2 linked regions of the Sus scrofa genome follow. The protein of the gene in region 2 interacts with the protein of the main gene of each other region in a biochemical or structural test. Links are inferred from orthologs where the notes say so. Each region holds a gene or a part of one and is shown on either strand. Other genes may lie near its edges. The genes, in order: SEMA4A and PLXND1.

Region 1 (3,805 bases), on a different chromosome or scaffold from region 2:
CCCGGCTTCTAGAGCCAAGGGTTTTCACAGAGGGGAAGCCAGGGCATCCAGGTGCTCCATCTCTAAGCCTATCTACTCCGCCCTGGCAGCGGACGCCTCCTTTGTGGCAGCCATTCCTTCGACCCAGGTCGTCTACTTCTTCTTCGAGGAGACAGCCAGCGAGTTCGAGTTCTTCGAGAAGCTCCACACATCCCGGGTGGCCAGAGTCTGCAAGGTCGGCCAGCGGGGTGGGGGGCGGGGCTGACCGTGGAGAAGCCAATGAGGGCGTGACATGGGCGGGGCTGAGCATTTAGGACCCAATCGAGTGGGAGGGAGAGGGCGTGGTTTCCGGGAGGGGAAGGGGGAGGACACCCCGGGCCCTCTGACTCCTCTGATGCCCCTAGAACGACGTGGGGGGAGAAAAGCTACTGCAGAAAAAGTGGACTACCTTCCTGAAGGCCCAGCTGCTCTGCGCCCAGCCCGGACAGCTGCCCTTCAACGTCATCCGCCACGCCGTTCTGCTGGCAGACAATTACTCCACTGATCCCCATGTCTACGCAGTCTTCACCTCTCAGTGGTGAGCAGCTAGGCGAGAACTTGGGTCTGGAAGTGGGATTTGGGATCAGCCCCCATGTTGCCTTGGCTCACCAGGGAAGGTAGGAACTGATGTGAGCCAAGCACACACTCCACACTTCGCATAGGAGGGTGTTTGATCACTGTCTTCCAGGAATTTGACTGATGCCCTTAACGTAAATCAGAAAAGTTCTGATTAGTTTATACCCTGCCTGGTTCCAAAAAGGATAGGAGGCAGCTTATGAAAAGCAAATGTTAAAACCTATGAGGAAGTGTTAAAAAAAGGAGAATAAGAGAAGCCAGAGATAGGGTCAGCACATTATAAATGTTTGTCATTTATACAGTCTCTGTCATTTATACAGCCCATATTTACCTCTGGGCTTCCTAATGGTCAGAGTGAAGAGCGAAACATCATCAGTAACATAAGATAAAAATAAAGTCGTTGCTTGGAAGCTGAGAAAGTTTAACTTATTTGCTGTGGTCTGGCCCACAGGGTTCAGGTACCTGCTGACAGTGTGTCAGGTACCAAAGATATCTGTGGAGTTCCCATCATGGCTCAGCGGTTAACAAACCTGACTGGCATCCATGAGAATGAAGTTTCGATCCCTGGCCTTGCTGGGGGTTAAGGATTCAGCGTTGCCATGAGCTGTGATGTAGGTTGCAGATGTGGCTTGGATCCTGTATTGCCGTGGCTGTGGCATAGGCAGGCAGCTGTAGCTCTGATTTGACTCTATATGCCACAGGTGTGGCCCTAAAAAGACCCAAAGTTATCTATTGTTGTAAGCAGGGTCTGGTACCTGTGGCATCCAGAACTGAGAACATGGTGTAAGCCACCGTCAGGTTAAAGAGAACAAGAGGGACAGATCTTTTGCCTCCACAGATCAGGGCTGAAGGAATAAACATCATCTTGTAGTCAGGTTATGGTTGGTTATCTGAAGACCAGGAAATTCTGGGACCCCAAGCAAGAGCACTTCATCTGGAGCTTGTCAGGGACCTGGTTACACTGTCCCTCCCATAGAGACCCAGTCTGGGCAGGAAGGGCAGGAGGCACCCCTGAGCCCAATTAATTCTCATTAACGATAGTCACATCTCAGATCCTAAGATGGGCTAGAGTCTGGGGCTCTCCTTGCCCTTGTCACCACAGCTGGGCCTGACCCAGCTCTTCTGGGGTTTCTCACCAAGGTGGGAGGGCAGAGGTGGGGGGCGGGTGGGGTGGGAAGTAAGGGCTAGAGGGGGAGTTCTGGCACAGCAGAGGATATTACAGACAATGTCCCCTCTGGCTGTCTCTAGGCGGGTCGGTGGGACCCGGAGCTCTGCTGTCTGTGCTTTTTCTCTCAAGGACATCAAGCGTGTCTTTGAGGGAAAGTACAAGGAATTGAACAAAGAGACTTCACGCTGGACTACCTACGGGTTCCCTGATATTAGTCCCCGGCCAGGCAGCGTGAGTACTACCCCCCAACCCACTGAATGAAGCCCCTCCTCCCAGGCACGTAACATGCATGTCAAAACACCTGTCAAGGCATAGTACAAATGCCCAGCAAATGTGAGTGCTCCCCACACTCCCAAGTCCTGTCTGCTCAAATATATACCCATTCCAGCTGTCCAACCTCACCCTAAACACAGAGGAGTACCCTCTTCACCCCAGCTAAGTGCATGCCACATACCTGGGCATATCACTAAGGAAACAAAGGAGCACAGGCTAACACCAAGGACTGTCTTGGGCATCGTCACCTGCATTTCTTATTTCATTTTTGTTTTGTTTTTTGATCAAAGTCATATATGTACAACATTTAAAGAGTCATATAAAACTGCATGGCTGATTACAAAAAACAGCCCTATTCCCTATCCTTGGCACTTTTCCTGCTCTCGAGACAGCCACCTTCAATTCTTTTAGCTGATTCAATTGATATATATCTCCAAATCTCTAAATATTTTTATTGCTACTTTTTTTTTTTTTTTAAGGGCTACACTGGCAGCATATGGAAGTTCTCAGGCTAGGGGTCAAAATGGAGCTGCAGCTGCTGGTCTACAGCACAGCCACAACAACTCAGGATCCAAGCTGCATGTGCAATCTACACCACAGCTCACAGCAACATCAGATCATTAACCCACTGAGTGAGGCCAGGGATCGAACCTGCCTCCTCCTGGATACTAGTCAGGTTCGTTTCTGCTAAGCCACAACAGGAACTCCTTATTGCTACTTCTTGATGTTTCAGTTTTAGGCAATAACTGTTGAATTCCCATTCTGGATGGTGAGGATTTAACCATGTCCCCCCACCTCCTCACCCCCACTCAGCCATGTGCTGGAACTGCCTTGCAGCAACTTGCAAGAACCCTTTCCAAATGTAATTGTAATGTATACATGTAAGGATAACCTGACCCCCTTGCTGTACAGTGGGAAAATTAAAAAATTAAAAAAAAAAAAAAGAAAGAACCCTTTCCAAATTCACATCCCATGACATTATATGGATAGCTTGAAGTCAGTCATGGTGGGAATAATACATCACGGAAATCAGCACACACTTCAAATCAAGGTTCCCCCACCCATCATCCCAGAGCTGCCTTACCAACACACCCCTGCACCCACCCCTATCTCCCAATAGACTTTTATAGTAATTTTGATTTTATCAATATTTGTATTATGACTTATTATTCATAACTGAGCCAGGTAGTAAGCCATGATAACTTTTCTTTTCTTTTCTTTTTTTTTGTCTTTTTGCTATTTCTTGGGCCGCTCCCAAGGCATATGGAGATTCCCAGGCTAGGGGTCTAATCGGAGCTGTAGCCACTGGCCTACACCAGAGCCACAGCAACTCGGGATCCGAGCCGCATCTGCAACCTACTCCACGGCTCATGGCAACGCCGGATCTTAACCCACTGAGCAAGGGCAGGGACCGAACCCTCAACCTCATGGTTCCTAGTCGGATTCGTTAACCACTGTGCCACGACAGGAACTCCCCATGATAACTTTTCCTTTTTCCATAACTTTTAATTTTCCTTGGGGTTAGTAATTTATCTTAATTTTTTTTTTTTGCTTTGTTTTCTAAGCTCTTTATTTCAACCCCAAACCCTTCCTCAGTTATCCGAATCTATTCTGAAAACAGATCCATTAAGTGTTCTAAGAGTTTCGTTTTCCTGGAGATCCTTCCTATCCACTGCAGCCTGGACTTCCTCTGCAGCTTATCAACATTTGGGGTACAGCTGCCCTCCTGGAATCTCCCTTCCTCATCATTCTGGGCATTCCCTTTGCCGC
Region 2 (4,487 bases):
CAACCAGGCCGGCCCCTGCGGTTGGCAGAGGCTCCTGGGCCCGTCTGCCTGCTCACCCACTGTGACCTTTACCATCAGGGCAGCCGGCCAGCCGGGCGGTGGGCAGCATGGGGACCCAGCTGCAAGCAAAGGAATCTGCGTTTTCTCAAAGCCCCAGTGTTGGGCACACCCACAGGGGAATAATTAACCTCATGAGCTTGCCAGGGCCTGAGGATCACGGAGAAGGGATGGGGCAGGGCTACAGGGGGCCTGGCCCCAAGGAGGAGAAGGCTGAGTTCTGCGTTTTGAGAAGTTAAGGCTTCCCCCGGGAGTGGCCAGGTCTCCTCACAGACTCAGTGCGGAAAAGGCACAGGGACACCTCCCAGGACCCCCTGAAGAAGTGACCCCTCCTTGATGGGCTTCCTTGAGTGGAACCACACAAAGTTCCCCCTTGTACTGGGCCCCTGTGTCATGTCCCCCCAAGAGACATCAATCCCCCAACCTGGCTCACTAGTCACTGCCCAGCCCAGCCCAAGCCCCAGCTGCTGTGGTCCTACCACTGGTCCTCCCTGTCCCCTCCCGCACTCCGGTGCTGCATGCAGTCTGCTCACCTCTCTCCACTCTCCCGAGGCCAGCACCTTTTGACCCAGCCACTGGGACTCCTCTAACACACACCCTGAGCTGTGAGGCAGCAAGGGCTGGGCAGCATTAAGAACACAGATGCTGGGGCCAGACAGCCCAGATTCAAATCCTGCCTCTGCTGCTTCCTAGCTGTGTGATCTTGAACAAGTTCCTTAAACTCTGTGCCTCAGTTTTTTTATCTGTAAAATGGGGATGAGAACAAAGTATATCTTCATGTTACTGTTAAAAACCTAGAGTTAGGCCATGGGGTATGTATCCCACAACTGCTCCTGCCTTCCCCACTAGCCCCCATGCCTGGTGCAAGTGTAACACTCAGTAAATTGTGTTGAATGAGTGAATAAAAGTTGGCCTCAGGAACACACCTCTTTGCCAACCAGTGGCCCCCTGAAGAGTGCCTATTGGTTCCCAAATGCCTGTGTCCCTTGCCACATATCCCACTGTGCACCTAGGCCCACCCTGTTGCACCAGTGTCCCTGCTGCACGTACCTTGCAACTGCAGGGCCATGCTCCACACCTGCCTGCCTCCCTGCACACCTGCCACACCCGTGCACACATCTGCCAACTCCCAAAGGCAGCCCTGATGGGCTCACAGAGCTGGCCCAGAACACATATTTGATCAGACACTGCACTCACTTGCTGTGCCTTCAGCTTCAGCCCTGAAACACCTGTGACCACCAGCGGGCTGCGCACAGTTGGCTCTCTCTCCAGCGCCCACCTGGAGACCAAGACCACTCCCACACACCTAGATATGCGTACCTGTAATTCAGCAGGCAACTTAAGTGCCCCATGCTCACACCTGAGCCATATTCACACTAAGTCCCCCCACCACTTCGGCTAACACCTGCATCCCCGCCTATATCCTGTCGAGTATACCTGGGTCCCCGCAAATGCATTTGTGGCCCAGAGTACACACTCGGGTCCCCGTACACGCATATCTGGGTTGCATCACGGTCACACCTTGCCCAGTTACACAACTTGCCCAGTTACTGTACGCTCTCCCTCGATGGTCCCTCGCACCCTCGCACCCCGGCGGCCCGGGCGTACCTGGATGTTGAGCTTGCGCTCACAGGCTGGCCCGGTGCCCTGCACCACGCTGTCGAGCACCGCCACCACGTCGGGTGCGGGGTCCACGAAGCAGGCGTTGCGTGCGGCGCGGATTGCGGCTTGCACGTCGGCGAAGCGGAAGGCACAGAGCGCCGCAGGAGCTGTACGGGCCGCCAGGGCTCCCTGCGGCCGCTCGAAGACCGCAAAGAGCCTCTCTCGCGCGGGAAAGACCGATACCAGGCGGCTGTAGAGATCGCCGCGGCCCGCGCCGCCCGCGCACTGCAAGCCTAGCTGGATGTAGGACTCAGTGAGCTTCTTGGCGTCGCCGCCGGCGCCGCGGGGCAGGCAGATGCGCGCCAGCAGGCTCCGCGCCTGGCTCTCCTTGTCGCCCGCGCGCGCCTCGCTGTTGAGCGCCAGATACGCGTAGGTCTGGGCTCCCGGCTGCGGGTCCGGAGGATGCAGGAAGGCGCGCACGAAGCCCAGCTTGTGCTGCTCCTTGGCGCTCTGCTTGATCTTGAGAATGTTGTCGTCGGAGGGATTGAGGTCGAAAGTGAAGAGCTTGGCTAGGTCGCCGCGCGCATCCAGGGAGCGGATGGAGATTTCGGGCGTGTTCTCGAAGCGGTGGTCCTCCAGGCTGGAGTTGCGCGGGAAGAAGGCGCTGCCGTAGCCCGTGTACGTGGCGCCCACGAGCAGGCGACTGCCCCCGGTGCCGGCGGCCGGCGGCAGGACCAGCCCCACGGTGGACGCGTTTGGGTGGTTGGCCGCCACGTTCAGCATGCTGGGGAACACCGTGACGGGCTGGGCGGGCGGCGCGGCGGGCGGGAAGTGCACCGCCACCGCCGAGATGTTGCCCCGCCGCCGCAGCTGGCAGAAGCCCTGGTAGATGGAACCGCACACGACCACCAGGCCCTGGCCCGGGTCCAGCTGCAGGATTTTGTTGTAGTTGTCAGTGAGGCGCCGCGGGTGCTCGCACGAGGCCTGAGGCAGCTGCGGGGCGTGACACAACGGGCTGTCCGCCACTGGGCCCACGGCCGCCTCGGCCTCCAGGCTCAGGTTAGCGCCCGACAGCTGGTAGAGGCGGTTGACGGCCGCCAGGTACACCGTCCCCGCCGCGCCGTCCAGGGCGAAGTTGTTGGTGGGCGTGGGCGAGGGGAACCGGCGCTGGATCTCCAGAGCGTCGATCCGCGCCGCCCCCAGGAACAGCAGAAGCAGAAGCGGACACGACGGGGCCGGGAATGGCGGGCGCCGCGGCAGGGGGCTGGCCGCGGCGGCCCGGGCGCTAAGGGGTGCGCCGCCCGCGGCGCGACGAGCCATCCGGGCGTGCGCGGGCTGCGCGGCGCGGCGAGTGCATGGGGCGCGGCGCGGCCGGGAGCCGGGAGTCCGGAGGCGGCAGGAGGCGGGGGGCGGGCCCGGGCCGCGAGGCGCTTCCTGCCCGCGCCAGCCGCCCCCGGCCCCGGCGCCCCGGCCGGGCTCAGCAGCTCAGCGCAACCCGGGGGCGGGACGGGGGCGGCTCCGCTGCGGACACGCCCTCGCGCCCCGCCCCCGCCGCGCCCCGCCCGGCCGCGCCCCGCCTCCTGGGCCCCCTCCCGCCCGGGGCCCACCTCCCCTGGCGTCCCGGGCCTCAGCCCCCGGCTGCCACCCTGCCCTCCGGCTGCCGGGCCCCCGCTCGGCTGTCGGTGTGTCCCGCCGCCCCGTGCCCTCCAGGACCTTCCCGCGCGGCGACCGCGGCCCAGGGCTCCCTTCCCGGTGCTGCCTCCGCCTCCGTCGCTGGTTGCTTTAGTTCCTTCTCCCTCTTGGCTGTTTGGCCTGTCTCTCGGGCTTGTTTTATTTTTTCCTTCCTTTTTTCTGCCGTCTCTGTCTCTCTTCCCTTCTCGATGTCTGTCTCTCAGTGTCTCCCTGTCTCTGTGCTCCCCCTCCACCCCCACCCCCCCGACTCCTTGCGTGTTGTCGCTCCTTGTCTCAGTCTCTGCTTGTCTTTCGCTCTCCGTGTTACGTCGCCCCCACCCCCACTTTCTCCCCTGTATCCTCTCTCCCTTCTCTCCGTTTTTCTGTGCCTGGTTCTCCTCCCACCTCCCCTACCCCGGTCCCCTCGGCCAGTCTCTGTCTCCCTCCCTCTCTTTCTCTCCATCCCTCTACCCGCTCTGTCCACCCTCCTCTCTGGCGCCCTCCCCCTCTCTCTCCTCACTCTCCACTCCCTTTCACAGGCACCCCCAGGGGCAGCTGGGGAGGGGGCACCACCCCATTCAATCCCATGATCTGTCCTTCAAACCCCAGCCCCAAAAGAGGTTGGACAGGTGACAGGGACAAAGGGACCAGAGCTCCAGGGTCAGACATGAAACAGGGAACGTGGAGAGGAACTGTTTCAGGCCTGTGCCAACCGGGGGGCCACCCAGAGTAAGATGTCAGTCCTGGAGGATGATGGCCCTAGGACGCCCACAGTTGCCTCCTCTGGAGACCAAGCTGCCCTCCCACTCACTTTATTTGGGACTCTGGAAGGATCTAAAATCCTCCCAGATTTAGTGGAAGATCAGCCACAGGTGAGCTGGCACTGGGCCTACTTCTCCTTTCACCTGGGAGGAGCAGGTGAGCACTTGGGGCCCAGGCAGGCAGTGATGACTACAGGGCCATAGAGCCTGCATCAGGAGTATGCATGGCCTTGGCCACAGTGGGTGCCAAGGTGCAGTTCGCCCCCTGCCAGGCACTCTGCCAAGCCCTTCACCCACACAGCCACCTTCTGAGGCTGGTACTATTATAGTCCCACCTTATAGATGCAGAGCCTGAGGCCCCAGAGGTGAAGGGACTGGCCCAAGAGGCACAGCGCT

What was found.
Region 1: the proteins of PLXND1 (region 2) and SEMA4A form a complex in vitro, tested with the Homo sapiens proteins (2 studies listed by IntAct, with this or other methods). The link is inferred for Sus scrofa from reciprocal best matches to the Homo sapiens genes PLXND1 and SEMA4A.

The regions. Positions count from the first base shown.
Region 1 is NC_010446.5:93,876,104-93,879,908, reverse strand, and holds part of SEMA4A (semaphorin-4A), read left to right. Parts: intron 1-89; coding exon 90-214; intron 215-383; coding exon 384-556; intron 557-1,842; coding exon 1,843-1,993; intron 1,994-3,805. UniProt on the Homo sapiens protein: Cell surface receptor for PLXNB1, PLXNB2, PLXNB3 and PLXND1 that plays an important role in cell-cell signaling. Regulates glutamatergic and GABAergic synapse development.
Region 2 is NC_010455.5:68,993,591-68,998,077, forward strand, and holds the start of PLXND1 (plexin-D1), read right to left. Parts: upstream 3,036-4,487; 5' UTR 2,980-3,035; coding exon 1,666-2,979; intron 1-1,665. UniProt on the Homo sapiens protein: Cell surface receptor for SEMA4A and for class 3 semaphorins, such as SEMA3A, SEMA3C and SEMA3E. Plays an important role in cell-cell signaling, and in regulating the migration of a wide spectrum of cell types.